3 linked regions of the Sus scrofa genome follow. The protein of the gene in region 3 interacts with the protein of the main gene of each other region in a pairwise test. Links are inferred from orthologs where the notes say so. Each region holds a gene or a part of one and is shown on either strand. Other genes may lie near its edges. The genes, in order: KIRREL2, THEG and FHL3.

Region 1 (9,953 bases), about 49 Mb from region 3:
GGATGTGGGTTTGATGTAGCTGGTAAAAGCTCGAGGATGGGGAGTGGTGAGATAACCTGCCCGGGCTCTGTATAGTCTGCAAGGGGGTACCATGCCCAGATGTGGGTTGAAGTCATAGAAGGCAGGTGTCCCTGGAGGCCCAAGGGGGGAGGATGGTGGTGGGAAAAGGCCTCCTCCAGGGGCTTCTCCAAGGCTCAGGCTCACACTGACTCCTCGGACCTTGTAGTAACCATTGGTTGGGTCCTGAGGGGACAAAATGGGACTTGGTAAGTTATGTGAGGCTATAGATGGGTGAGGGCCACCGATGGAGAGACACACTGAGATAGAGCCAGACCTAGGGAGAGACCCAGAAACAGGAGTAGACAGGGACTCAGAGACATATAAACTGGTAGAAGGACAAAGTGAGACAGGAAGAACAGCAACAAGAGACAAAGGGGCAGAAGGAGATGGGCAGAGAAAGGCAGAGACAGAGGAATACAGACCTGCTGAGGGGCAGCTGTGTGGAAGGAGATCAGAGGGAACGAGAGAGAAAAATTGAGAAGTTCCCATTGTGGCTCAGTGGAAATGAACCCAACTAGTATCCATGAGGACTCTGATTTGATCCCTGGTCCCTCTGAGTGGGCTAAGGATCTGGCATTGCCTTGAGCTGTGGTATAGGTCACAGATGTGGCTTGGATCTGGCATTACTGTGGCTCTGGTGTAGGGTGGCAGCTGCAGCTCCAATTTGATCCCTAGCCTGGGAATTTCCATACACTGTGGGTGTGGCCCTAACAAGACCAAAGCAAAAAAAAAAAAAAAAAAAAAAAGGAAAGAAAAAAGAGAGAAGAGAAATTGAGATCAAGACACTCATTCATTCATTTGCCCAACAGCCCCAAGACTGATTCTGTGTCATGCCCTGTGCTGCTTCTGGAGACATCTCTTACTGGGATCCCAGGCCAATGGAGAAATGATGCATCACCAGATCGAGCCAGGAAGGGTCAAGGTGTGATGGAGGAAGTTCAGGAAGATTGACTGGGACAGTGATGGGGGAATCTTGAGACTGCGATGGGAAAGCCTAGACAACAGTGGTCATACTGTGACTGTCACATGGCTGTGACAGGTGAAACCCAGACACAATGGTCAGAGCCATGGGGAGGGAAGCATGAGCTTTCCGGGACAGGAAGTGCTTGGGCTGAGACCAGAGGCGTGATGGTAGGTGTGTATGTGAGGAAAGGTAGGAGTATTTCAGATCAAGAGAATCACATGTGTCAGGTAGAGAGGAGAGAGAGAAGGGCTCCGGACTGGGGACTGGAGTCAGTGGGGCCCAAAAGAGTTGGGGTCCCAAAGGAGGGATGTGTTTGGGGAAATGTGAGGTCAAATGGAACCTGATAGGTAGAAGGGGCCTGGGTGAAGCAACCAGGGAGAGGCATCTGGGCCTGAAACACAACTGATGGGGAAAGCACAGGCAGAGGGAACATTGATCTGGAGCTCAAGGTGGAGGGCAAGGCTGGGCAGATATATGGGCAGAGTCAGCAGATATACAGCCCAGGAGGCAGCAAGAATGGGTGCAGGGGGGTAGGTGCCAGCTCTGAGGGCAACTGAATGAAAAAGGAGGGGGAGTTGGAGACACATTGAACAGAGCCCCTCTTTTCCCAACGCTCACCTTGGTCTCCAGAGCCCTCTCCTCATCCAGAACGAGGTCACTGTGGTCTGTGTGCATGATGGGGCCCTAGGGTAGGGTGCTTAGTGAGAGGGAGTGTAGAGGATCCTTTGATCCCAGCGCTAGACCCCAGGGACCTTCAGTTGAACATCTGATGCCAGGCAGGAGGGACCAGGGGCACCTGGGAGCTGGGGGTCTGGATTTAGGACCACAAGTAGCCCTGGGGTGGGAGGGCATGTTGGGAGGAATAATTGGACCAGGGGCATGTTTGGACTTCACGGACACTTGGATCCAGGGGTCGCCATTGGGATTAGGGCTCTGTTTAAGTTGGGGAGGTGATAGGGCTAGGGTCATGATTGGGACTGGGTTACTGTTTGGGTCTTGGGGTATAGTCAGGTCTGGGGACCCTGGCATCCTACCTGGTCCTCACCGCTGCCTGTCTCCTCCTCAGGGCCCCTGGAACTGGAGCCGTCACTGCTGCCTTGGATTCTCACCAGGTTCTTTTGCTTGGAGAAAGAGGCTGAGGCCAGGGACATTGGGGGTGGGAGCAGAGGTAAGCAAGGGGGCTGAGTCATGGTTTGTGGGACCCATGAGCAGGAAGAGAGAGGACTGGGGCAAATCAGGTTGGGAGGCTGGGAACCAATGAGAACCCTGGCTTAGGAGGGCAAGTGGTGTGACCCTGAGGACATGGAGGTAGAGCTGGAGTGGGGCAGCAGGTCCTGAATGTAAGCCAAGCCCAGGGAGGGTCTAGAGAGGCAGGACTAGGACCAGGTCCCAGTGGGTAGGGCCTGTGTGTGGACCTGGGGTGGGGGTCAGGCACTGACCCTTGTTATGGTGCCAGCAACAGAGGGCCACCCCAGTGATGACCATAAGAAGAGTCATGGCAACAGCAGCTGCTCCCGCCACGATCCGCACAGTAGGCAGCAAGTCTGCAGGAAGTAGAGGGGGTTGTCCTAAGGAGGCTGAGCAGAAGACTGAGCAGGAACAGGGGAACAGGACTCAAGGCTTAGGTAGGGGATCTCTGGGTTCACAGGTCACCAATTCGGGGACTCCCAAGTTTTGTAGTCCTCTAGCTTGGAGTCCCTAGGTTTAGGGGCTCAGGAACTTGGGTTTTACAAGTTTAAACTCCTTGGCTTAGAGCTTGAGGGTACTGTTACTTTACAATTCTCTGTATTTGAAGGTTGCTTTTTTTTGGAGCCTCTAAGTGTGAGGGGCCTCTCAGTTTAGAATTCCGTACTTGAGGGAAATGATTGTTTGGGGGTGGGGTAGGTCTCAGGATGCAAGTCGACTCAGTTTTAAGGCTCTTAAGGTTTAGGGGTCTCTGCATTTGAAGGTCCTCTGTTTGGAGATTGTGGCATTTGGGGGCTCTGAAGTCAGATTTGGGCTCTTCGGGTCCAGGGTCTCACCTCTACGTCCCAGGGTGACCAGGGTGCCCCCCTCGCCCAACCGGTTCCGGGCACTGCAGTTGAAGCCCCGGCTAAAGTCGGACTCCTGGGTCCCCGAAATGTGTAGCACAGAGATCAGGCCTGGACCCTGTCCCCCGCGGCCCTCTGGGGCTGGAAATGTCTCCACCAGGAACCGACCCCGCGACCCCGCCGTCAGGAAGCCCTCATCCCAAGACCAGACCTGGGGGCACAAAAGAGAAAGGCCACAGAAGAAACCATGGAGTGGGGGAAGGGGCGGCAAGGTGTCGGTAGAGTCAGTGTTGGTAATACAGCAGTTTTGGGAGTCCGGCTGGAGGTCCGGGATCACCGCTGGATGGGGATTTCCTTACCACGGCTTCTGGGGCGGGGGAGGCGAAGACAAGACACTGGAGACGGGCGGGACCCCTCAGGAAGGCGGGCGCAGAGTGCAGGGCAGTCACTACTGGGGGAGCTGGTTTGGAGACAGTGGGCCAATCAGAGAAGAGGCCCCGCCCCCAGCTCCTCCTCAAGAAGGCGGGGTCATGACTGGGCACACCCACCAACCCCAACCGACTAGGCGACGCCTCTCAACAAACTGTGAACCCCACCGAGGCTTGTCTCAGCTAGGTCCCGCGGCAGTTCCCAGGTCCCGCAGTCTGTTAAGCTCCCTCACAAGGAGCCCACTTTTATCCCAAGACCTGTGGGGTCCACTAGGAAGCGCCGCTTTCTCACCGTTCACAGTTAACCTAGCTTCCGCAGCGCCGCCCCCCAGGCCCGAGAGCCCAGGCTCAGCCCTGCACACGTAGTCGCCTGCATCCTCGAGTCCCACAGCTGGAAGACGCAGAGTGGGCCCGGAGGCCATCACCTGGGATAGGAAGTGGTGTCAAGGGCAGGACCTTGAAAAGAAGCCCCGGCCACTGCCAGCCACGGCTGTAAGCCCCAGATCCTGCCTCACCTGTGCTTCCCCGCGGCGGGTCCAGGTTACCCGTGGGAGTGGATTCCCGCGCCAGACACAGCTGAAGGAGGCATCTTCCCCCACGTCTACGGACAAGGGTTTTGGCTTTGACTGCAGAATCGGCCCGACTGGAGAATAGGGAGAAAGGAGAGAGAGAGACAGAGAGAGAGACAGAGAGAGAGACAGAGAGAGAGAGAGAGAATCACATGACCAGGGAGGACTGCAACTTCTGACTCGGGATCAGCCCCTCAGGGACAACACCCACAAGGGCCCATTGAGTTAAAGCCCCCAGTCCACAACTCCGCTCACAGTCTCCAGCCCCCCCTTGCCCCGCCCCTGCTCCACTTTGGCCCAGATCCAGCACAGACTTATCCCGCCTAAATCCTACCCCTGCCCCACCTCCTCCCCTCAACCCGTAGCAGCCAAGCCCCGCAGTAGCCCCCTGGCCCATTTTGCTCGCCCCACATTTGGCCACACCCATGGCCTCGCCGCCGCTCTTACACTGCACATCCAGAGCTGTGCTGCGGTTGGCGCTACCCACTGCATTGCTGACTTCGCAGGACACCGGCTCAGTCAGGAATGAAGCATCCGCTACTACCTCCAACATTGGCCCGCGGGCCCCGAGCACCGGGGAGCCCCCCTTTGCCCACCTGCGAAGGCGGTGGGCTGTTAGTGTCCTTGCTGCTCAGGCACACCTACTCACATCCTAGCCCCAGCCCTCCCCAAGCCCTTCCAGGTGGGGAGAGATGATCTTCGTCCTCACCTATAGCCGGTGACAGGAGGCTGGGCTGTGGCCTGACATAGGAAAGTGACCTTTTCTCCCTCCTGCACTCTCTGTGGTTCTGCAGACAGAGTCACCACTGGGGGGTCTGTGGAGGTGTGTCAATGGTCAGTGGCTGATGACCTAGGAGTCCAGTTTGCAGCCTCTCCACCCTAGGAGTCCGAGACCCTAGTCTCCTCTTCCCTTTCAGCAAGGATTTAGGCTGAAATGTCCCAAATCCCCTTGGGCCCACGGCCCCCCTCTTTCCCTGAAGTCCAGGCCCTGGCCCCCTGCTTTCTCCAAGGACCTCAGGCTCCAAACCTAGTGTTCAACTGCACTCACACTGCAGGCTCAGTGTGATAGCCGTGTCCTTTCCCACAGGGAGGGCCTGGCTCCGGGCCCGGCAAACCAAGGTTGCTCCATCATCATGGCTGGAAGGCGTCAAGGATAAGATGCTCTCCACTGACCCAGTAGACCCAGTGGTTCCTTCCTTCAACAGGGTCTGTCGTTTATGAATAATAATAATAATAATGACTTCATCTACACTTACTGTAATTCTTACTCTATGTCAGGCACTCTTCTAGGCATTTATAAATATTATGGTATTTAATCTTCACAACTACCCTAGAGGTGCACACGACTACTAAGCCCATTGTGCCGATAAATAAACTGAGGGACAGCGAGTCTAAGATCCATCAACTAGCAAGCAGCTGAGCCAGGATTTGAACCCAGGTAGTCTGGCCCTAGAGTCCTTATCCTTAATGGCATACCAAGGATCCTAAGCCTTGAATCCCTGTCCTCCCATGCCCTTTTCTCCTCTGGATGAGCCTGTGATGTGTGGGTCCCCAAATTTCCCTGCATGAGCAAGGGCTGGCACAGAGACTTAGACCTGACCTGATGGAAGGTAGCCCCATCCAGCTGGACCCCATCTCGGAACCACAGCAGCTCAGGAGTGGGGTGGGCATCCCCACGACTCCGGCAGGTCAGATTTGCAGGAATCCCAGCAACCAGAGACACAGAGGGGCCGCCCAGCACCTGGGGGGCTTCTGGGGGCACTGTAGGGGTGGATCTGGGGTCAGAGCTGGATCCTGGGCCCATAGATCCTGATTTCCCAGCTCTAACCCACCACTCCTCCATTCTCTCTGGACTCCGATACTCCCAGCTAATGCAGGCAGTCCTCCTGGGCTCCCTGGGGACATGTGGGCTGGATCCTCACCCAGCACGTGCAATTGGGCTGGTCGAGAGCGGAGACCTGCTTGTGTAGCCTGACATTCATACGATGCTTGATCCTCCAGCTCCACAGGCCTAATGTGGAGGTCGTGCTGGCCACCAGCTGCATTCCCAGATATCCAGTACCGGGACCACCCTAGAGTCAGGGAAAAGGCAGTCACAGCAATGGTTCTGAGTTCCTGGCCCCAGATCTCCATCCCCAGACATCCCACCCCAGAAGAACACTACCAAAAGTGGACACTGGGCCAGAGAAACACTAACCCTCTCCCAACCCAGAGTCATTGCAAACTTGGGGGTGATAAATTCAGGGAGAAAAAGCACAAGAAAACACTTGCCATAAAAGTCAGACTATAGGAGTTCCCGTCGCGGCTCAGTGGTTAACGAATCCGACTAGGAACCATGAGGTTTCGGGTTCGATCCCTGGCCTTGCTCAGTGGGTTAAGGATCTGGCGTTGCTGTGAGCTGTGGTGTAGGTTGCAGATGCGGCTCGGATCCCACGTTGCTGTGGCTCTGGCGTAGGCTGGTGGCTACAGCTCCGATTAGACCCCTAGCCTGGGAACCTCCATATGCTGCGGGAGCAGCCCAAGAAATGGCAAAAAGACAAAAAAAAAAAAAAAAAAAAAAAGAAAAAAGAAAGAAAAAAGTCAGACTATATGCTACCTCTTGGGTGAGGAGGGAGGGCATAGGATAAGGGAGGGGAATAAGGAGAGTTTCTGGGGAGCTGGCCATGGACCTGTAGTGGTTACACGAGTGTCTATTTTAGAATTATTTGGCAAAACTTCATATATGCTTTATGTGCTTTTCTGCATGTATTTCATGTTTTACAATAAAAATAAAAAGTCCAAACCCTAGGGGTCACCTCCAAAGAAGAAGCTGAAAATTCAGGACTCCCAAATGTTTGCCTGAGCCCAGTAGTTTCCCAGACTCGAAAACGTTAAAATTGAAACTTCAGCGATAGCCCAAATCCAGGCCGCCCTGAATAGAGAGAAAGCCTCACCTGGCAGGTCCCTTTCACCGCCTAGAGCCAGTCCATCCTTAGTCCACTGAACCAGCCCCCAGTAGGCGCCCAGGGCACAGGGCAGCCGAGCCTCGTCCCCCAGCAGTACTACCAGGTCCTCGGGCTGTTGCAGGAAGTGGGGTAACAGGCCTAGGAGAGTGGGGCGGGGGAGCAGAGCAGAGCTTAGCACATTCAAGAACTCCCTCATTTAGGACCCAGGAGTCCAGACCCCAAACCCCTCTTCCCTCAGACCCAGAAGCCCAGGCTCCCAGAGTTCTCCTCCTTCAGACCCAGGAGTCCAGACCCTCAGCCCCAGCCACCCCTGTAAAGCGACAGCTGGCAAACAACCCCTCACGGTACCTGCACGCCCTCTGAGGAAGAGGAAGAAGAGGACAAGGAGTGTGGGGACCAGCATCCTGAGTGTGAGCCCCAAGGTCTAGCAGACTCGCTGTTGCACCGGCTTCCCTGCAGCTCCGGCTTCCCTGAGAGCTCCTTCGTCAATAGCACACCCCCCACCCCTCTGGAGCCCCCTTCAAGCCCGACTCGTCGCCTCAGGCTAGAAGCCCCCCAGTATCTCTCCTGGAGTTCTCCTCGTCTGCTCCGCCTCGGGCTCCCCGGCTCTGAAACGCTGGCGGGTTCGGCGCGCTGGGTCTGGGAGAGAAAGGGGAGGTCGGATGCCACTCGCCCCGCCCTGGCCCGCCCCCTGGGAGACCCGCCCTCTTCCCATTGAGAAACTCCCGCGGCCCAGACGCGGATGAATGGGAGCATGCAGGGCGGGGGCGGGCCCCCCCCAGCGGGCGGACACCCCAGCCCCCTTTCGGTCCGGGCGCTGGAACACCTGGGTCGAAGGAAGGGGTACCGGCTGGGTTGGACACCTACAACCTGCCAGGGTTGGGGGTTTGGGGGGGTTGCGGAGGAGAATGGGGAGGGAGTGGAAGAAACTTGCTCAGCCTGGGTCCTGGAGGGACAGCGCTGAGTGGAAACCGAGCTATAAATGGGAACCCCTGGGAACTTGCTAGTTTCCGCGCCCTGGGGAGGCGGGGCCCCGGGCTCCTTTGGGCTTGTGGGTCAGGAAGAGGGCACCGAGTTTGCCTGGGAGGCAGCGGGGACCCCAAGAAGAGGGGAGTTCAGCTCTCCCCACCCCAAACCCCTTCTCAAAATCTGCCTCTGCCTGCCGCGTTACCGCTGCAAACCACAGCACGTCCTGAGATCCAGGAATCCAGCCCCCGCAACTCCCCCTTTCCCAGGACCCCGCAGTCCAGGACCACCCCCTCGCCCCCACTCGGCCGTGGTTGCCGGGTGACGGCTGGGAGGCGGCGGTGCCCGGGCTGGGGCAGGCGGGGAGGCTGGGAACCGCGCAGCTTGTCCTGACGGCTGCAAGCCGCCCAGCTGGGGCGTTCCCACGCTGTCGCCCGTGCGCTGCGCAGCTGGCCGGACAGGTGGGTGGGACCCTGAGCCGACAGAGGGGGGTCCTGGGGGTCTGGGACCCTGGGTCTGACATCCTTGAGCCTGTAGGATCTGGGGATCCACATTCAGGAGCTCAGATTCTTGTATTCCTAAAGAGCAGGGGCATGGACGCCCAGGATTCTAAGACTAGGGGCTCAGATCTCGGATGACTGAGAAGCTAACGGCATGAACGCTGTGTTTCTGAGGAGCAGTTGGGGGCTCAACTAGGTGCCCTGCCTGCAGCAGAGTGCAGTTGGGAAAGGATGACCGGGGTCAGAAAATCTGGTCTTAAGTCTTAGAGTCAGTGGATTTAACCACCAATCTCTCTCCCACCCCCACACAGGCCCAGGAGGATTTGAAAATCAACAGACAGTGAACATCTGCCCTAAGTCCTGTGTGTGTTTGGGGGCGGGAGATGGAGAATTGAAGGTCTGAACTCCCCCATCCTTGGGAAGAAGTGGCTGTGGGCCTGGACTCCTGCATCTGAGACGGTGGGTCTGGGGGTCCAGACTCCTTGAACTCCTGGCTTCTGTTTGGGGGAACCAGCACCTGAATTTTTTTTTTTTTTTTTTTTTTTTTTGTCTTTTTATGGCAGCACCCAGGGCATACGGAGGTTCCCAGGCTAGGGGTCGAATCAGAGCCACAGCAACGCCAGATTCGAGCCACGTCTGCAACCTACACCACCACTCACGGCAACACTGAATCCTTAACCCACTGAATGGGGCCAGAGATGGAACCTGCGTCCTCATGGATACTAGTCAGATTCATTTCCGCTGAGCCACAACGGGAACTCCAGCCCCTGAATTTTGAAATAAGATGAGCTTGGGGCCAGGCCTCCCGAGTCTTGGGGTGGAAGTCAGGTAGTAAGGCTGTTTTTCCAGACACCTGACATCGTTTCCACTTCCTGTCTCTCTGGGGCCACGGGCGTGGAAAGATGGAGAGGCTGAGGTCCCAGGAGCATCCAGAGAAGGAAAACATCCAAGGTGGGGGTGGGGTGAGGTGGAAGGTTTGTTCTAATTAAAGGTCCCAGCAATGGACAGCTCTACGCCGTGGCCCCGAGGGACACCATCTGGTGATGGTCCTATGACAGAGCCTCCAGCTCTGCCTCCAGTCCATTCCCCAGGAGGTGTGGGGGCAGTTGGCAGAGAGAATGTGGGAGGAGGCAGGGAGTCAATGATGGGAAGGAAGAAGAAAGACTAGATGGAACATCAAGGATGGAGCTGTGGCGGCTCAGACCAGATGCCTCATCTTGTTCCTGGAGGAGGACCAGATTTGGGGGGGGATCATGGCGGGGGGAGAAAACGAGCAGTTCCAATTCCTGCAGGAGATAAGCAGGCGGAAGAAGCTTATCCCATGTGGGTGTGTATGCGCATACTGGGGTGGAAAGGGCAGGCCAACCAGCATATGGTTATAAAATTTGAAGATGTGACAATCCGGGGGACTCAGATGGAGAAACAAATAAAGTAAAGAGACACAGGAGTTCCCATGGTGGCACAGTGGAAAAGAATCTGGCTAGCATCCAT
Region 2 (9,953 bases), on a different chromosome or scaffold from region 3:
TGAGAGAAATGGGAAAAGGAGCATGGGCTGGGTACTCAGACACTATGGCATCATTGTTCAATCCTTCTATGTGACCATTGCTTTTATGGTTTTCAAACTATCCTCGTCTGTTAGGAATCCATACTGAAGAGTCTGAGAGAAAAGTGGTGTGATGTCTGGATTTATTCTTTGTTGTTGTTGTTGTTGGCTTTTTAGCATATGGAAGTTCCCGGGGCCAGGGGTCAATTCACAGCTGCAACTGCCAGCCTATGCCACAGCCATAGCAACGCCAGATCTGAGTTGCATATGTGACCTACATCGCAGCTCACAGCAATGCCCTTAACCCACTGAATGAGGCCGGAAATCAAACCCACATCCTCATGGACACTATGTCAGGTTCTTAACCCGCTGAGCCACAAGGGGTTATTCTTTTTTTTTTTTTTTTTAAGGGGGTTATTCTTAAGAGTGTTACAGTGTGTGTGGGGTGGGGGGGTCTGTCAAACAACCACACAGAAACACCAGTTGACACAGTACTCAAACCACAGTGCCAACCCCCATACATCCGTCAGAATGGCCAGACTTTTTTTTTTTTTTAACTTTTTAGGGCCATACCCATGACATATGGAAGTTCCCAGGCTAGGAGTCCAATCAGAGCTACAGCTGCCAGCCTACACCACAGCCACAGCAACATTAGATCCGAGCCATGTCTGTGACCTACACCACAGCTCACGTTAACGCCAGATCCTTAACCCACTGAGCGAGGTCAGGGATCAAACCTGCAACCTCATGGTTGCTAGTCAGATTCCTTTCCACTGCGCCATGACGGGAACTCCAGAATGGCCAGACATAAAGGAATGGAAAAAGCAGCAAAGGGACAGATGGTGCCAGAGGAAGCAGCCACTGTGGAAACAGGTGGTCATTTTCTGATAAAGTCAGACCAGCCCCCTGCCCAGGCCCCCACCTCTGGTGATTACCCTGGAGTTTATGGAACTGTGTTCCCACGATTCTCAGATGCTAATGGCAGCCACGCTTGCAGGAACCAAAACCCAGAAATGACCACGTGTCCTTCGGTAGGTACATGATGCCCACTCTAGGGTCCCTCCCAGGAGAGCAAAACTCTGTGCTACTAATGGGGGGGAGGGCGTGTGTGCAGGGCACAGGTGTGAGGGGCCGCAGGCTTTGGGGCAGAGTGAGGCCTGAGCTGGGGAGGAGGGTAGCCCTCAGTCAGAGGGAGGTATGGGCTGGATTCAGAAGGGACTGACCTCTGTGATCTCTGAGGCGGGGTTGTCATGCCCACGTTGGAGGTGGGAGCTGAGGCCCTGGCCTCCGCTCTGAGCTGGCAGGCAGGGGGCTGGTCCTCAAGCTGCCTTCGAGGCAGAGGGGAGGGAGAAAACCCTTTTCTCAGGCCAATTCCAATGAAGCCTGGTGGTCCAGGAAGGTAGTTAGCATCTGCTGCCCTGGAGAGGGTTCCCTCTTGTGCTCCTGGGCCCTCAGAGCCCCTGGATGGTAGATGGGAGCCCTGGTGGGGGCTCTAGGGAAAGAGGCACCCACCTCGGACATGTTTATACTCCAGATGTTATTCCGGGTCTTAGGGGTGGCCAGCTCCCGCAGGCGACGGGATGGTCGGTATGCCAGGGTGGAGCGTGGGATGGGCCAGGCTGCGGTGGTCCTAAGGGAGAGCCAGGTGGGAGATACTCAGCCAAGGGGCCGTCTGTGCTGCGGTGTGTGCATAACACCTCTCTGATTCTGTGGGTCAGGGAGGGCCCGGCCTGGTGAAAGGTTGGGAAAGTACCTCCAACAGGGATTCTTCAAAGGCCCCCCTCCCCCTTCGCATCCTCAAGGATGGAGCTACCCCTGCTGGGGCAAGTATGAGCCCTGCCATTGATAAATAACTGGGGAAGAGCTTCCACTGGGCTGGCCTCTGAAGACCAGGCCTCAGCTATGCCTCTGCTCCAGAAACAGCTGCAGTTCATGGCTCCGATACTGGAATGCAGCAGATGAGCCGCTGTCAGAGCCTGGGGTGGTCCCTGGACTAAGATGTTCACACAGCGGTTATGCCAGCCCAGGCCTACACTCTGCACTAAGTCTAGTTGCAGCGGGTTAGATTGCCTGCAGACTGCATTAAGGCGAGATGCTGCTGTCACAAAGCTGGGGCAAAAAATGGTGGTGGGCTCTCGGCACAGTGGGCAGGAGTGTCTTCCCCTCTCTGTGCTCATGAGAAGCCAGAGTCTGAGAAGTCCAGGAGTCCCTCCCCGCTGGCGAGAAGTGACACCACGCATTGGCCTGCAGCCCCTGAAGCCAGAAGGTTCTGTCTGGGGAGCTGAGCACAGCCCTCCCCCGTTACCCCACACGGGAAGGGGTTCCAGCTTCCCAGGCAGTCGCCCCTACCTGTTGTTGTTATAATACTCCGAGTAGAACCTTTTAGGTCGGGCCAGCTCCTCCACCCGGCGGGACACCTCTGCGCAAAACAGGGAACACTCCCCTTGAAACTGACCCCCTGAGGACTTCCTCCCGAACCCAGCTTTGTACCAGGTGACACCCCCACCTGGGGCTCCAGGGCACGCGGGCTGGGAGGTATGCAGTCAGGATGGGCCTGGGTTTCCAGCACCTCTGTGCTCCCTGAGAACAAAACTCTGAGAACCTGCCCTGAGCACCTCTCCAGAAATGAGCTTTCTCAAAACGTTCTATTTAAAGGGATCCGCTGCCCCAGGAAGGGACGGGATCTTTCACTAAGGCTGCCCCCGCTCTGGCTGAAGGGCACTGTGGTCCCCTGAAGAGTCTGTCCCCCCACCCCTCCCCAGACCATCCTCCAGCTGGGGCGGGGACAGACTCCAGAGAGGAGACCCTGGAAGATGGATGGGGGGCAGGGTCCCTCAGGGAGGCCCAGCGGTCTCCCAGTCAGAGCCAGACACAGGTCAGGGTGAGATGCAGTGACCCGGCCACAGGCACCAGGCCAGGTGCCCCTGGGGAAAGGAGGCAGTGAGTGGGTCAACCTACCCGGCACCGTGATGGTGAGTGTGGTGTCCTCCAGAAACCTCTCCGTCCAGTACACGGATGGCCTAGAACACACCCAGCAGGGCTCAGGGTGAGGAAAGCCAGGGCCTCGGTGGCCCGCGTCCCACTCAGAAGCAGAACTCAGGGCGCCCCATAAACACAGACAGAAGATGGGACTGCAAGTGGGAGCATTGCAGCTGGAGAGGGGGGGCAGCTTCCAGATGGGAAGAAAGAAGAGAGCAAGTGGGGGGCAGGGGGCAGGTGAGGGAGGACACAGGAAAGCCTCAGAATCATGGGGGGGTGTAGATATTTTGAGCAAGGCTGGTGTTCAAAGGAGGGAGCTGGAAAAAAAAGAGGCATAACTGAGAAGGGGGCCTGAGGCCACAACCCAAGGACTGGAGTCCAGAGCTCCAGGTGGTGCAGGGGATCCTTGGGTGGGATCCTAGGGTGAGGTACCCCAGCGGAGAGCCCTTCCCCCAACATTGTCCCAGGCAGGAGAGGGCAGGGTGGCTGGAATAAAGGGCCCCCACATGGTCAGGAGCAGGGGGCACCTGGGACTTACCAGTAGACACAGAACTGCAGGTTCCTCATGCCGGGGGCGATCCAGGCATAGCCCCTGCAGCAGCACCCTGTCCTGCACGAGACAGGCCCACCCGCCTTTGCGCTGGGCTCCACTGGCTCAAGGCCTCGCTGTCCTTCACTAGCACCCAGGGCCACCATGGTCACAGTCTCCCCTCCCTCAGCACCTGCCCCAAGCTGGTCATGGGGAGGCAGGGGAGGGCTGGGCAGAGGGGCCACCAGAAGCTGCTTCCCCCACCCCAGCCAGACCTCACCTGTCTTTCAAGACTTGCCAGTTGGTCTTGGGCTTGGCCAGCTCGAACAGCCGCCTCCTCTTCCTCCTCTCCCTGCCTACGGAGGTGCTGGGGAGCCTCTGGGAGATGGACAGACGGCTGTGGAGAGCAGGCCAGTCAGGGCAGGTCAGATCGCTCACTCCCCCAGCCCCTTAGACCTATGCACGTGCTCTCAGCGCCCCCACCCCAGGATCTCACCCTCCCCTCCCAGGAGGCCTGCCTGGAGGAGACTTCTAATATCACAAAGACTAGACTGACATCCCAGCTCTGAAGATGGCCACCCCAGTTCTCTCCTCTGTGAAAGGGAGCAGAGACCCGCTCCTGCCCCACCAGACAAGGAGATGCTTCCCGAATGCAGGTCAGACCCAAGAGGGGACGAGCACAGAGAGTACCCCAGGAAGCCACAGCTGCTGCTCCCTGCACAGCACACGCCCAGCCCCGCCAGCCACATCCCCCAATGTGTGCCCCTCACACAGGCTCTGTGGGGGCCACGGCATTCTGCAGGGAGAACGAGGCCCCTGTGCAGCACAGGAGGGACGCCTGCTGACCCAGCAGCAGGGGCCAGGAGTCCAGGCGAAGGGTCCACCCATGCCCCCCACACACTAACAAGGCACTCGGTCCCCAGGTGGGGGGAGCACCTGCCTCTTTCCAAGACACACAGGCTCTCAGCTCACCCAGAACACATCCTCCTGCCACCTAAAGCCTTCCTGCCAATTTGTGGTCCTCAAGATGGTTTTGGCTTTGGGCTTGGGAGCTTTCACCCATTTCTTCTTCTCTCTGTCTGACCGAGGGCCGCCCCTGTGACTTCTCAACTCTGCCATCTGAACTCTCCAGAACTGAAGCTTTGGTGGAGTTTTTCCACCCAAATTCACCTGCCACCTGGACAGGGGCTGTGTGTTGACTTACTCCTGGGGGCAGTGAGGTGCTGACACCCTCAAGCCTAGAATGAAGTCACAGGCCCTGGGGGCACCCACCCCAGGGGCCACCCCCACTGCCCCAGGCTGGTGGCCACCCTCCTACGCACCTCATCTCAGGCACACCCTCCTCCACATCCTTCTCCAGAACCTTCTCCAACTCTGGGAGGGCCTCTTCTGGGTTCTTGGTACCCAGGAATTCTTCCCCAGTCACCTCTTCCGGGGGGATCTCCTCCTCCTGGCCTTCCAGCCCCAGCTGCCCATCATCTGGGTCCTGGTACTTGGTGTCCCTGGACCCTCGGCTCTCATACACAGGGCTTGGAAGGCCCGGGGCGCTGTCCTTCTGCCCCCTCTCTGGCCGGCCCTCAGCCTCCGACGTGCGGTGGTCATAGAGTGAGCTCTGCCACTGGTCCCCCATGTGCTGGGTCCTTCCCAACCCTGCAGCCTTGCTCCCCAACACCCAAATGAGTCGTGGTCGCCCAGCAACAGGAGAATGGCCCACCCACATTCTCCTGCCCACATTCCACGCCCACATCCACAGGTGCCCACCACCAGGCAGCCCCCAGCCACCAGGCCCTTGGGAGGCCGCCCACTCCTCCAACCTCAGCCCCACCTGGCCCCCTCCTGCCACCTTGCCTTCCTGCTCCATAAACCTGGACCCCTTACCAAACAAGGCACAGTGAGGCCAAACAATAATGAAACACTGGAGTCAGGAACAGAGAAAGATTTACTGCAGGGCCATGCAAGGAGACCGGTGGCTCATACCTTAAGCCCCAGCTCCCCAAAGGCTTTCAGCAAAGCTCCTTAAATTCATTTTTTAATTAAAGCATACTTGATTTACAATGTTGTGCCAATTTCTGCTGTACAGCAAAGTGACCCAGCATATATATCATACATATATATACCTTCCCTTTCTTTTTTTTTTCTATTTTTTTCTTTCATTTTTTAATTTTGTCTTTTTATGGCCACATCTTCAGCATATGGAAGTTCCTGGGCTAGGGGTCAAATCAGAGTTGCAGCTGCTGGCCAACACCACAGTTCATGGCAACACCGGATCCTTAACCCACTGAGTGAGGTCAGGGATCGAACCCACATCCTCATGGATATTAGTTGGGTTCTTAACCTGCTGAGCCACAATGGGAACTCCATATACCTTCCCCTTCTCATATTATTTTTCATCATGGTCTATACCAAGAGGCTGGATATATTCCCCTGCCCTGTACAGTAGGACCTCATTGCTTACCATTCTAAGATCTACTATTACATTTAGTAGATACCTAAATGCATCTACTAACCCCAAATTCCCCATCTATCCCCCCCCTTGGCAACCACAAGTCTGTTCTCTATGACTGTGAGTCTCTGTTTTGTAGATAAATTCATTTGTCAACAAATCCCTTTAAAAGACCGCATGAAGGAGGGGTGTGATTGCTTGTTGCCAACTTCTTGGTGTGGGATCCTTTTTTCTTGTACTGTCCACAGAGGTCAGGTCACGATGTACCTGTATATTTCAGGCTCTAGGTGGCAAAAAGGTGTAGAGCCAGTATGACTAAGCACAGGCAACAAACCACAAAGGTTAAGGTAAGGTTAAAGTAAAAGGAACAGATCTAACACAGAGTCAGATTTGTTCTTCCCTGTTACTTATCCACCTCAGGGCCTTTGCACCTGCTGGTCCCTCTTCCCACACATGCCCTGGGGGATCCTCCTCAGGAAGGCAGCCCATTTTCAGGTCTCTCTGTATCCTGGCTCCTCATTTGACTTCTGCAAGGCATTTAGCATGGCCTAAAATTACACTGCTCACTTATTTATTTCTTCTTCAGTGTCTACCTCTGCACTGTAGAAAATTGCCTTCTCAGATCAGGGGCTGCAGAAGGCTCTTGGGGAAGGGCTGCTGAGTGAACAATTACTCAGTGCTGGAGCACACCCAGCTCCACCCTACATTTATTCTCATCTGTGCTCAAATGAGGAGTTAGTGCTGGCGGTGACAGTTAACCAGGAGTCCCACCCCCTCCCCAAGATTGGCTGAGGAATGGACCTGAGATGGAGTCCCCAGGGGTTTCTAGGGATGGTCCTCTCTCTTGAAAGGAGACAGGAAGAAGAGATCCTATCTCTTCTTCTTGGTTATTTCTGGAACTGTGTGTGATGTCCAGAGCTCGAGCAGCCATCTTGCGACCATGAAACCTGCTAGCCTGAGGCCGATGAGTCAAAAGATGGGTCTTTGGTGGCATGGTTGAACCTCTGAACTTGGCAACCCTGGAGCCTTCTGTGTGTCTGGGCTTCTTGTAACCTGACACATTCAGTTCTCTTAGGACTAAGTTGTAGCTCAGCTTCCTGTTCCTTGCAGCCAAAAGCACCCCAACTGATATGTTCTCTTCCAGCCCCAATATTTCATGAGCAATAACTCTAGCAACACCTGGTATTTGAAACAGGCTGTCCCAGAAGAAGATCAAAGAAGGTGATTGTTATGAAAGTTGTAGCATCCTCATGGCCCAACATCCAGATTTTGGGAAACCCTCTCAGGGCATCATAGGACCTGCATCGTCCACCCTCTCTGTGTACAGAGCAGAAACTTTTGGGGCCTTCTCAGGGCAGGGTCTTTCTCTATATCCTCTACTTTAGCACCTCTCTAAAGTATAATATGTATCTTGGAGGCTTACAGAAGCATCATGACCCGACCTCTGCGGACAACTGCAAGAACAAAGGATTCCTTGCCAAGTGTGCATCAGCCAACCACATGCCTCCCTCACCTTGCCTTTAAAAGCACTTTGCAATTTTGAGGAGTTCAGGATATTTTGGGAGTACGAACTACCCATCTCCTTGCATGGCCCTGCAGTAAATCTTTCTCTGCTCCAAACTCTGACATTTTGCTTTGTTTGGCCTCACTGTGGCACAGAGGCTTGCACTAACAATTTAAGACCCCAGCCTGCCATTCTCTTGTGTGGGAAGTGTCTCTGACCACCCCCTCAAGTTCTGCTCTGGGCCCCCAACACACAGGTAGGCCCAAGACCCTCTCCCTGGACATGAGTATGGCCCAGCTCAGGCTGGCCATCCAGAGACCCAAGTGGATGGGGCAAGCTCACTGTTTGCGGTTTGCAAATCCGTTTCCAAATCCTGTCTCTCTAATGCTTTGCTCCTGGCTGTGGCCTTGTCATCACCTCTGTGAGGATCCTAGAAGTTCTTCGAGAGTGTCCAGTTCCATCTGGGAGACCCTTGGAAAATCTCATTATTGGTCTCAAGTGTCCTAAACCCTCACCTTGCATAAAATGACTCACAAAAAAAGAAATTCCACGTTGCTGCAACTAGAAAGACCAATCGTCACCACAATGTTCTGTAAGAAATCCTTACTCAAAAGTGAGGCCACTTAGCTTTGAGACAGGTCACCAAATCTAAGACAGCCCAGGACCTGGGACCCTTGGCTGCAGTGCTTGCACCAGGACAAACATCTCCTCAAGGAACAAAATACAAAGAAAATAGGTGGGACTAAAAACAACGGTGTGCATGCGCAGTTGGGGCAAATTATGGACAAGATACAAAAAGACCAAAAATCCAATTGCCACTTCTCAGGAGCCAAGAGTAAAAGCAGGTACTATTCATGCCCCCTGCACACACCGCCACCAAAAGGATGGGCAGACCACCTAAGCCACCCCTCTGTCCTGCCCCCTGGACCCACACTTACCCTCACCCCATAAAAGGAACCAGATCACCAACCCCTAGGAGAGTGAGCTAGGGAAACTGTTGCTTGTTTTCCCTCCCTCCTGCTGAAGCACCAATAAAGCTTTGCCTGAATTTATTGCCTGGCCTCTTATCAAATTTTATTTATTTAGGAAGACTGCAGCAAGCCCCCGTACCAACTTCAGCCACAAGGGGGCAGATGTCAGAAGCAAGAGAGGCTACAACCCTATTGTCTGCAAAAAGGAGACCATACCAAAAATCTATACAAAATGAAAAGGCAGAGAATTAAGACTCAGATAAGGGAACTAGAGAAAACCTCAGAAAAACAGCTAAATGATCTGGAGATTACCAACCTCCATGAAAAAGACCTTACACTGATGATAGAAAAGATGATTCAAGATCCTGGAAATAAGCTGGGGGCAAAGACTGATAAATTATAAGAAACGAAAAAATAAATAGAAGATTTAAGTATTAAGCAAGCAGAGATGCAAAATACAATGACTGATATAAAAATTCACTAGAAGCAACCAGGAGCAGAATACAGGAAGCAGAAGAACAAATAAGCAAGGTGGAAGACAGACTAGTGGAAATCACTGGTTCGAAACAGAAAAGAGAAAAAAGATTGAAAAGAAATAAAGGAGTTCCCATTGTGGTGCAGCGGAAACGAATCTGACTAGGAACCATGAGGTTGCAAGGTTTGATCCCTGGCCTTGCTCAGTGGGTTAAGGATCCAGTGTTGCTGTGAGCTGTGGTGTAGGTTGCAGACATGGCTCGGATCTGGTGTTGCTGTAACTCCAGTGTAGGCTGGTGGCTACAGCTCCGATTAGACCCCTAGCCTGGGAACCTCCATATGCCGGGGGAGCGGCCCAAGAAATAGCTAAAAAGACAAAAAAAAAAAAAAAAAAAAAAAGAAATGAAGACAGTCTAAGAGAACTCAGGAATAACGTTAAATGCACCAACATCCATAATCTAGGAGTACCAGAAGGAGGAGAAAGAGAGGTAAAGGGCCAGGAAAAAAAAATGTGACGCGATAATAGCTGAAAAGTTCCCTAATGTGGGGAAGGAATCATGCAAATCCGGGAAGCACAATGAGTACCATATAAAATAAACCCAAGGAAGAACACCCTGAGACATATTAATCAAACTGACCAAAACTAAAGCCAACGAGAAAATATTGAAAGCAGCCAGGGAAAAGAAACAAATAAAATACAAGGGAACCCTGATAAGGTTATCGGCAGATTTTTCAGCAGAAAGTTTGCAGGCCAAAAGGGAGTGGCATGATATACTTAAAGTGATAAAAGGAAAAAACCTCCAACTAAGATTACTCAGCAAGTCTCTCATTCAGATTTGAAGGAGAAATGAAAAGCTTTACAGACAAGCAAAAGCTTAGAGAATTCAGCACCACTAAACCAGTTTTATGAAAAATACTAAAGGAACTTCTCCTCTAGGTGGAAAAGAAAAGGCCACACTAGAAACAAAAATATTACACATGAAAAGGCTCATATACTAAAGGCATACATATAGTAAAAGTAGGAAATCATCCACA
Region 3 (9,953 bases):
CCTGCCATCTTCTGCCCGGGCGTCACTCCTGGCAGCAACTGGCAAAGCCCCAGAATCTTTCCATCCCCTGGGTCATTATTTCCCTCCCCCTGCCTCTGGGAGAGACAGCTTCTCCCCGGCTTCGCAAAGAGTTTGCGGCTGGGGGAGTGAAGCATGAGAGAGTGGGAGCCACTGAAGACATCTCTCCAATCGGGCCCCCTCAGAGGTAGGGAGTCAGGCAAGGGGGGCCCTGAGAGCTGTTGCTGCAGACACCCAGCCCCCCACCAAACCTCAGACACTTTCCATTTTCTCAGGAACAAAGCATGTTTGTGGGATGAGGTCATCCGCACAGCTGCCTCTGCCGCAGGAGCTTGGGGAGTACAGAGTGTTAGGGAAGTGGGGTTCCCAGTCCCTTCTGCCCCAGTTCCTAGCCCTCCATTCCGAGCTCCCCACCCCCACCTCCTCCAATGTGAAAGCCATTCTCTGAGGTCTAGGATCCCGGGGTGTGTGGACAGGAACCACCAGGACCAAAGCGGCGGGGGGGGGGGGGGGGATGTTCTCACAGCTGCCGATGAGCCCAAGCCCGGGGTGATGAACCCAGCCTGTTCAAAGGAACCCACCAACTCACTCCCCCGGATTAGACCCCAGTAACTGGCACTCCCTAGAGCCTGGCCTGGCTCAGGTTGAAGGAAAAGCCCTCCTTTTCTCAGCCATCCCCAGCAGAAAATTCTAGCCAACAAGCGTTGCTCTGGCTTGGAGTTCAGACTCCAGGCGCCAGCAGACACCCCGAGCCTGCAGGGCCTCGCTCTTCGGAAGGTATGGGTCGTGAGCTCACAGCTGCCCTTCTTCCATGACACTCAGTTCATACCCCAGGCCAAGGCATGAGGCCGCCAGGAACTGGGGTCTTCAGAGCAGGCTGGGGGCCAGCTGTAGGGTAGAGGGTACGCCTCCTCAGTTGGTTCCAGCAGTTCAGGCCGGGGTTTCCTCTGGCTCAACATCTGAGGGTGGCCTGGGCTGTCAGCCACTGGGCAGCAGGGGGCCATACAGGTGGAGTGTGTGGCCATGTCCGGGAGTGCCCTGGCCTTTCCTTCCTTCCTGGCTTGGTCCCCAGCAGCCCTGTCACCTTCCCAGGCCGAGGCTAGCCCTAGGTCCGCCCTCTGGGAGGCAGTCACCACTCTGAGTCAGGGGCCCCCCAAACAGGGTGTGGGCGTGGCTTCTGTTTCTTTCCCAGAATCCCTCCTCCCCTAGTCCGTCCAGCTGGGCTCTGGTGAGGACAGAGTGAAGGACAGTAGCAAGGCCCACCTGTCTCTGCCCCTCCCCCCCGCCCCCCTTTCCTGGCAGGGCTAGGGTTCCAAAGTCTTGTATTCCTTCTTGGCTGGTAGGGGGGTGTGGGAAGACTGTTCGGTCTACCAGATGGCTCTCAGGTGCTGCCCACCCCCCCCAACACACACATCCCCATACCTGGCCCAAACACATACATCTGACACCTCCCCATGAACCTCCTGCACCTCAGAACGGCTGGATAAATGGCTGTGGTTGGCATGGAGAAGCTTGAACTGTGAAACAGAAAGCTGGGTGATCTTGAGCAAGTCACTTAAGCTCCCTGAGCCCGTTTTCCCATCTAATACCACTTCCCACCTCCTAGTGTTGCTGTCAGGGTTAAATGTGATGATACTTGGAAAGCTCCTGGTAGCTACTGAGTCGTCTTGGTGTTTTGATTATTAGCCCCTTCCTCGTACTGGGATCAGACCACAGCTTCTCAACCAGGCCTGGGTTAGGGGGCTAGCCTGGGACTTGACCTTGACATTCTCAGTGGTGGGCTCAGGGAGAGAACAAGGAGGGAAAGCCTTAGTTCTCCGTTAAAGAGACCCAGGCGTGGTGCTCACTAAGACCAGTGGGGGCAGGTCTGACACCAGTGAGCGTAACTCTGAAATCTCCAACACAGGTACAGAAGAGTAGACACTAGCGTGCTGTTTGGCTTCTCACAAAGTGCAATGCCGCCCACCCACCACCAATCAGATCTCCCAAACGGCAGGCGGGATAGGACATCATCCCCGTTTTACAGCTGAGCACGGCGGCCAGGGACAGGGCAGAGACATGCCCAAAGTCACTCTGGTATGAGATCCTAGGTCCCCTGCCTCTCAGCCTGAAGTCCGTTTCTCTTTCCCTAGAAATGTTGCAGTGGCTGAGGGGGTGGTCAGCATTTAAGAGCAGGGGGACAGGAGATGCTAGGTGATATCACTGGGACAGGAGCCTGGCTCTTCTCCCCAGTTGCCAGCCCTGTGACTGGAAGACACCCAGAAGCCTTTCCAAGTACCCATGCCAACCGCTCAACCCCCTTTGCCCTTCCCCCCCACAATGTCTAGGAGGACCCTGGCCAGGTCCCACAGCTGTGACTCAGAATCAGCACAGACCCTCCCCCAGCTTACAGGAGCTCACAAGAGACTTGAGGGGAGAAACCAAACTCTTCCCTCCCCCCCCAACTAGGCATCAACCCCAAACTCTCCGGGCTCTCTCCCCTCCCCCCATGAGGGCTGGGAGTCAGAGCGGTTTGGGGGAAGGCGGGGTGGGAAGCAGGATCCAGCAGCTGCTCTGGGGACAGAAAGGAACAGTTCATTCACCCCGGGTCCCCCTGGACTGAAGCAGTGCGCCCAAGATTTGAGTTTAAAAATAAGTTGGAGCTGATTGGGGGACTGCATGGGGCTCCTTCTTGCTGTGTCTTACTGTCTCAGATCCTCATGGGGGATTGACTGGTCTAGAGTTTCTGTCTCCCCACATCCTCACTTCCCAGTCTTTTGGGCCTGAGTCCCGTGGGTCTGTCTTGGAAGCTGTCACTGTGCCTCCATGACATCTGTCTCTTGATGTCTAGCTCTGCTCCACTCAGCACGTCTGTGTCTGCACACTTTGGCAGCTGTCTTTATGTTTCCATGTCTCTGTATCTCTACTGGCCATCTCCCAACGACAGCCTCGGTGGATTTCTCCCTCCGTCCACCCAAGCCTTGGCATCTCAATGTCTCTAAAAGGTGGAATGTCTTGGTCCTCCCCCACCGTCCTTCTCTATCTCTTAGCATCTCTATGCCTGAGTGTCTCCGACTCTAGACTCTGGATCTTTCTAGGCCTCTCCAAGGCTGCTTTACCACGAGGCTAATGAAGCTTAAGCTTTGGAGCCCCTCACTTGCCCAGAACCTTCCAAGGCTCTGGGAAAGGCCGACAACACCTCTGGGGTCATTACATGCTTTTCCTTAAAATGCTCCGCTCCACAAAACCTCGGAGGGGTCCCTACGCCTCGGGTCTGCCTCCCGGTGACTCTACGCCCAAGTCTCTGTCCCTGTTTCGGGAATCTCTGCAGCCTCCTCTCCAAGCTTGTCACTCCTTATGCTGTCTCGGTTTCTGGCTCCACCAGGCTTTTTGGAAGCCGGTTTCTCGAACCCTCCCGGTAGCTCTCGACGCTGGTTTTCCATTTCAAACTTGGCCCCCTTCCCCCGCCCAACTCGCGTAGCAGCGCCCGCCCCGCCAGGAGGCCCGGGGCGGTGCGGTCCCCGTGGCGCCCCTCAGGGCTCGGCGCCCCCGCGCCACCGGCTCCCAGAGCGTCCCTGGCGCCCGCGGCCGGACCCCGGCGGAGGCAAAGGGCAAGAGGCGGGGGCCATGGCTGCTCTGAACCCCCGGTGGGTCGCCTCTACCTTCCCGCCCGAGGGCGAGGGCCGGGAGCCGGGATGGGGAGCGGGGCTCGGCGCGGAGCTCACCTCGAAGCGGGCGGCGGGAGCGAGGCGCGGCGCTCGAGCAGGGAGGGCCGGGCAGCCGGGGCCGCGTCCCTCGGCGGCTCCTACCTGCGGGCCAGGCCGAGCGGGGCCGAGCGAGCTACCGGCTAGGCTGCCGGCTGCACACGGACTGTGTGGGCGAGTGGGAGCGCGGCCCCAACCCCTCCTCGAGGAAGTGAGCGCTGGGGCCCGCCCCGCCCGGACCCCGCCCCCGGCCGCCCCTGCCCGCGGGGTGCGGACCCCGCCCCCGGCCCCAGGTCCCCGTGGCTAGGGGCTGGGGAGGGGGGCAGACCCCGCCCCCACCTCCCTTTTAGATCGGAGCCAGCCCCAGCCCCCTCGGCCTTCCAGGCCTAACCTGGCTCTCGCAACCTTCCCGAGCGGCCAGGACCCCGCCCCTGTCCCCTCCCTGCAGCTTTTGCTGTCCTCCCTCCTTGCTCGCCCCCTCTCCCGGCCCCCCCCCACCCCCAGCGGTTAGCTGTGTTCAATCTCGGGCAAAGGATACAGGAGGCAGCCGACCAAGGTCCATTTGGGGACCTCATGCCCTCTTCGTGTCCTCGCCCCCTCCCAGTTTACCCCCAGGGATCACACTGCCCGAAGGTGTACTAGAGGACTCATTCCAGCCTGGGGGTGGGGCTGGGGGCTTGGCCCTGCTGTCACAGCTCTGTAAGTGGGAACCTAGGTGTTCCGCGGAAACCAGGAGTGAAGCAAGGACCCCCTCCAGAGGGCCTTGACCTTCAAAGGGCTTTATTCTCCCACCCTGAGCGTGAAAACGAGTAACCACCTCCTCACCTCCTGCTGCATGGTGGAACAGAGAAATCCTCCCTTGGTTTTCACTGTGTCCAGGAATAGTTTTGACCTTTGAGGCCCAGGGGATACCCTAATCCTTCCCCCCCCCCCCCGTGGTTTTTGAGCTTCTCAGGAAGGAGTGTGAGGAGTGTGCATGGACAGGGCGCTGCAGGGGTGGTGGAGAGAAGTTCTTCTCCCCGACCTCTGCAGTTTCTAACCTTCTGGCTTCCTCCCTGGGTCCTGCCCTGCGGGGAGGGAGGACTGGCGCCTGCCAGGGACACAAGGCCCCTCCAGGTCCTTGAGGCCAACCCCCCTGGGATCCTCAGGCTTGTCACTAGGAATAAATAGCCATGGTCTGGAAGGGTTGGGGAGGGAGGAGGAGGCTCTGCTGGGCTGTTTGCAAAACAAGAGACAACAAACCAACCCTGGAAATAACCTCAGGGTCTAGAGTAGAGGTTCAGGTGCCCAGAGAGGCTCTCCCATCCCCCAGGCTGGGTCCAAACAAGCTCCCTGGGCAGAGACTCATTCCTTCCCAGGCTGGGGCTCCTGAGTACCCTCCTCTCCAACCTCTGAATCCCATGCCTGCCTGAGGGCCCCAAGACACCCTGGAGGCCAGGTTTCCTTTCAAAATTAACTAACTGCTTGTTAATTATCATTGTTCCTCATGCCTAAACTGTAAGGGCCATGAGGGCAGGGACCAGGTCCTTCTGATTCTGGCACTTAATAAATATCTGATGAATGAATGAGTGACAAACACTGCTTCCATGTCATTGGACCCTTAGGTGCCCGGATTGGACTGCAGGCATATGCTTCTGGAGTCCGGGGAGGAAGCAGCCAGTGCCTGTGTTGACCCTTGCTCTGGAACTTATCTTGCAGGTGTAGGAGACTCCCAGCCCTGGGGAGTGCAGGGAAGACTGCCTGGTTGGATGAGGGCAAGAAAGGGTTTACTGGGAGTTCCCAGTTGTGGCACAGTGGAAACAAATCCGACTAGTATCCATGAGGATGTGGGTTTGATTCCTGGCCTCCCTCAGTGAGTCGGGGATCCCTTGTTGCAGTGGCTGTGGTGGCTGTGTAGGCTGGCAGCTGTAGCTTTGATTTGACTCCCAGCCTGGGAACTTCCATATGTTGTGAATGCGGCCTTAAAAAGCAAAAAAATAAAAAAGAAGGGGTTTGCTCTGGGCTGAGGGGAGGGCAAAGGTCAACAGCCTTCAGAAAGGAAGGGGTTATGACTGAATAAGGAAGGTGCTGGACCAAAGGCAGAGTTGGAGGGGCTGGTCTCTGGTTTTACTCACAAAGAGCCAATATTCCCTGAGTTTTTACTTTGCACCAGACTCTAAGTACTTTGCATATATTAATGCACTTGATTATCCATCAACTTTGTGAAATATGTATTTTTATCCTTATTTTGAGGATGAGAACATGGAGACACAGAGAAAGTAAGTAGCTGCCAAGGGTGATACAGCTAATAATAGCAAAGCCTGGATTCAAATCCAGACAATCAAATGTCAAGGCTCCTTATGCTAAAAAAAGTGCTTCATCTTTAGGCTCTAGAGCCTCTGTAGTCAGTTAACCTCTTAAAGCCTCAGTCTCTCATCTGCTAAGAGTGGTGGACTCCCGGGAGTTCCCTTCGTGGCTCAGTGGTTAACGAACCCTACTAGGATCCATTAGAATGCGGGTTCAATACCTGGCCTTGCTCAGTAGGTTAAGGATCCGGCATTGCCGCATTGCCGTGAGCTGTGGTGTAGGTTGCAGACAGGGCTCAGATCCTGCATTGCTGTGGCTGTGGCGTAGGCCAGCAGTTGCAGCTCCCCCTAGCCTGGGAACCTCCATATGCCTCGAGTGCGGCCCTAAAAAGCAAAAAAGCAAAAAAAAAGAAAAAGCAAAAAAAGGGGGTGGACTCCCTGGCACACAGCATTTTTATGAGGATCAGATGAAAGCACAGAGAGGCTATTCTGTATGTAGGATGCCCTCCATCACCACCACTAAATACTCTCTTTCCTGGTCAAGTGTTGAGGTTTTGAGGTTTCGCTTCTTGGACTTGGAGTCTTGGGGCCCCGGGAAGGTTAGGAGATTTCTGAGTCAGCCCAGACTGAGAGAGAGACTGGCGAATGGCAGGGGCTGGATCCTTTCCCCTCCCCATTTCCAGCTCCCTAATGGGCTCACATTTCCCTGCTTGCTCTATTTCCGTTGGCCCAGGTGGACGTGCCCCAGGGACATCTAGGGATCAGCCTCATGGACTCCCTGTTCCTGTTCCCCATCAGTCCTCCTCCCTGCTCCAGGGAACAGGTGTGTCTGAGCTGGGGCTGGAAGCAGAGCCTGAGTGCTGGCCAACTGGCTTTGGATGAGTAGGATCTGGTTGTCCCTTCACCCACCCTGGAGGTCTCCATCTACCATTCCTGTTCCTTATCTTGTGGTGGAAGGGGGCTTGCTTGGGGTCTCCCAGCTCTTCTTTCACTTTGGCAGTGTTTTCAAAAGGAGGCCCTGGGTGACTGAAGGCTGGCAGGCCTCTCGTGGTTTCCTCTGGGTGCTGAATCACTCCTGATGCTTGTAACCACAAGTCCTCCCCCTCCCCCCAGTGAGAAAACTTCCTTCTTTCTCTGGGTGTATTGCTCACTCTTATCCACTGGGCTGAATACAGCCCCTGCAGTCCTCCTGGCTAAGCAGACACCCTCTTTCAGATTGCCCAGAAGCACTTTCCTTGTGAGCCCAAGCCTGGCATTGGGTCTGTGGGTGCAGATGTTAAGTGAGTGACTTCTACAGAGTGTGGGGAGGAATGGTAGAGGGAAAATAACCTATGGTTTTGGGTTTTTTTCATCTTTTTGCCATTTTCTTGGGCCACTCCCACGGCATATGGAGGTTCCCAGGCTAGAGGTCTAATCGGAGCTGTAGGCACCGGCCTACGCCAGAGCCACAGCAATGCAGGTTCCGAGCCGCGTCTGCGACCTACACCACAGCTCATGGCAATGCCGGATCCTTAACCCACTGAGCAAGACCAGGGATCGAACCTGCAACCTCACGGTTCCTAGTCGGATTCATTAATCACTGCGCCACGACAGGAACTCCACCTATGGTTAAATGCCAGCTACATGCATGGTACAATGCTAAGTAACAGTCATTCCTTCCCTCAGTTCTCACAAAAGCCGTAAGAAATGCTTATTATATTATTGCTATTTTACAGAGTAGGATATGGGGCTCAGAAGGTTTGACAGTGTGGCCCTAAATCACAAGCTGATAGGCGGTGGATGTGCAATTCAAATCTGTGGCTGACTGGAGGACCCCCTCCTTTCCCTTCCAGGGCACAGCTGCCTTCTCCTGGGTGTGCTCACCACTGCATGCCTTCATCAGGGGAAGTGGCAGGAGCTACTGGGGCTGCCATCTGGGCACTCTGTCTGATGGCTGGGCTTCCTATTAATTAATTTATTTTTTGGGGCCACACCTGTGACATATGTAAGTTCCCAGGCCAGGACTGAACCCACACCACAGTAGCAACACGAGCTGCTGCAATGAGAATGCCGGATCCTTAACCTGCTGCAGCATAGGAGAACTCCTGGGCTTCTTAAAAGAGATGAGGTTGGAAAGGTGGGCGTGGGCCAGATCATGAAGGTTCTTGTCTTTTAATGGTTAAGTAACAAATGAGATGCAATTTTGTTACTGTGTTTGGTCCTAGTTGGGCAAGGCTCAGATTGAGAAGCAGGAAAAACTTCTTCCACAGCAGATCTCACCGACTTTCAGCTTTTACATGCCCACTGGTTTACTGGATTTGCACCTCTGGGGACTGAGAAAAGGATTTCCCCAGAGTTCTTCAGCTGCAGGGTTGAGCCCTGTCAAGAGACACAGGTGCAGAGTTCCCGTTGTAGCTTAGCGGTAACGAACTGGACTAGTATCCATGAGGACACATGTTCAATCCCTGACCTTGCTCAGTGGGTTAAGTATCCGGTGTTGCTCTGAGCTGTGGTGTAGGTCACAGATGCAGCTTGGATCCTACAGCATTGCTGTGGCTGTGGTGTAGGCTGGCAGCTGTAGCTTGGATTGGACCTCTAGCCTGAGAAATTCCATATGCCATGGATGCAGCCCTAAAAAGCAAAAATAAATAAATAAACAAATAAAATAAAAAAGACGCAGATGCAATTACAGAACTTGCTAAAGGTTAACTTCACATGGTGGAAAAGAAGCCAAATGCCCCTGGAATGCTCCGCTGTGCCCAACTCTCTATCTATCCTTACAAGTATGTTTAGTATTACAACAATAATAACAATAATAGGTCCAATAAATTGTGAACTTACTAATGGGCGAACAGAGTATTAAGGACTTTAAACATTTAAACATTTTATTCTCACAACAATCCTGTAGTATAGTATTATTACCTCCATTTTACAGATGGGAGATAAGGTTCAGTGAAGCTAACTTTGTTTTGGCTGCTAACAGTTAGGATCAGAACACACCTCCGTGGTTTATGGTCCTAATCATTACATGGTACTGCCTCTGACACTCATTCTGTCAGCCACACCTTGAGGGTGTGAGAGACTTAGAACTCTGTAATTAATGCCATGATATGACTCCTTCGTTCAACTATGAGCTCTTTGACCGCCCTATGAGGCAAGCAGTGCATGCTATTATTATCCTTGCTTTATAGATGAGAAAAACGATGTTCATTAAAGTCAAGCGACCTGTCCAAAGTCACATAGCCAGTAACTGGCAGAGCCAGACATGACTTTAAGGTCGCTGTCTCCTTGTAGAAAGCTTTCTCTGGTACACGGGGAAAATTCATGGGGGTCCTAGCTTTAAACGCACCGCGTAAATACGTCAAATGAAGAGGCGTATGAGACTGAGCAGGCGCACACAGGTCCAGCTCGGCCCTAGGGCAGTGCCTGCCGCTTGTTTCCAGGTACCGACCCACAACCGAGTGTGAAGTCCAGTACACGTGGACCAAGGTCTGGCGAACCAAACTGGCTGTCGTAGAGTTATGAGACTAGACCTAAGGAACTACACTTCCCAGAAACAGCTTGGGGAGGGCGCCTTTGCTCCATGACGTACTTCCTGAAGGGCAGGCTCTGGATACGCTGCCGAGAAGAAGTAGGCGGTCCTAAGCCGCCGGCGGCTTGGCCTATTTCCGGTAGGATCTGTAGAAACGGCGGCTGATCCGGTGAGGAACCTGTGTTGCCTACTGCGCTGTTCCAGAAGCGAGCCGACATGGCGGCGGCTTTTCGGAAGGCGGCTAAATCCCGGCAGCGGGAACACCGAGAGCGAAGCCAGGTAGGACCGCATAGTCCCCACTAGCGCTGGCCTGTGGGCCCGTGTGCTATCCTCGTCGCAAACCTACTCCGTTTTACCTGTGGGTCTTGGCCTTTTCTATGCAGAGATGCTACGTGTAAATACCTGCAAATATATGCTAATGACGCTGGCGTAGCTGGGACCGAGGCTCGTGGTTCG

The links.
Region 1: the proteins of FHL3 (region 3) and KIRREL2 interact in binary tests that used the Homo sapiens proteins (3 or more experiments, as listed by UniProt). The two-hybrid records come from large-scale screens. The link is inferred for Sus scrofa from reciprocal best matches to the Homo sapiens genes FHL3 and KIRREL2.
Region 2: the proteins of FHL3 (region 3) and THEG interact in binary tests that used the Homo sapiens proteins (3 or more experiments, as listed by UniProt). The two-hybrid records come from large-scale screens. The link is inferred for Sus scrofa from reciprocal best matches to the Homo sapiens genes FHL3 and SPMAP2.

What each region holds. Positions count from the first base shown.
Region 1 is NC_010448.4:45,273,398-45,283,350, reverse strand, and holds the start of KIRREL2 (kin of IRRE-like protein 2), read right to left. Parts: upstream 7,615-9,953; 5' UTR 7,400-7,614; coding exon 7,345-7,399; intron 7,135-7,344; coding exon 6,985-7,134; intron 6,124-6,984; coding exon 5,974-6,123; intron 5,813-5,973; coding exon 5,652-5,812; intron 5,260-5,651; coding exon 5,100-5,259; intron 4,867-5,099; coding exon 4,761-4,866; intron 4,648-4,760; coding exon 4,499-4,647; intron 4,126-4,498; coding exon 3,998-4,125; intron 3,908-3,997; coding exon 3,775-3,907; intron 3,515-3,774; coding exon 3,414-3,514; intron 3,266-3,413; coding exon 3,046-3,265; intron 2,569-3,045; coding exon 2,464-2,568; intron 2,160-2,463; coding exon 2,059-2,159; intron 1,709-2,058; coding exon 1,643-1,708; intron 244-1,642; coding exon 1-243. UniProt on the Homo sapiens protein: May regulate basal insulin secretion.
Region 2 is NC_010444.4:77,889,746-77,899,698, reverse strand, and holds the start of THEG (testicular haploid expressed gene protein), read right to left. Parts: upstream 5,157-9,953; coding exon 4,849-5,156; intron 3,924-4,848; coding exon 3,807-3,923; intron 3,608-3,806; coding exon 3,536-3,607; intron 3,039-3,535; coding exon 2,977-3,038; intron 2,438-2,976; coding exon 2,368-2,437; intron 1,649-2,367; coding exon 1,531-1,648; intron 1-1,530. UniProt on the Homo sapiens protein: May be involved (but not essential) in spermatogenesis.
Region 3 is NC_010448.4:93,983,990-93,993,942, forward strand, and holds the start of FHL3 (four and a half LIM domains protein 3), read right to left. Parts: upstream 4,580-9,953; 5' UTR 4,539-4,579; coding exon 4,527-4,538; intron 3,877-4,526; exon of another isoform or gene 3,723-3,876; intron 1-3,722. Other genes in the region: UTP11 (probable U3 small nucleolar RNA-associated protein 11), read left to right, coding at 9,714-9,776. UniProt on the Homo sapiens protein: Recruited by SOX15 to FOXK1 promoters where it acts as a transcriptional coactivator of FOXK1.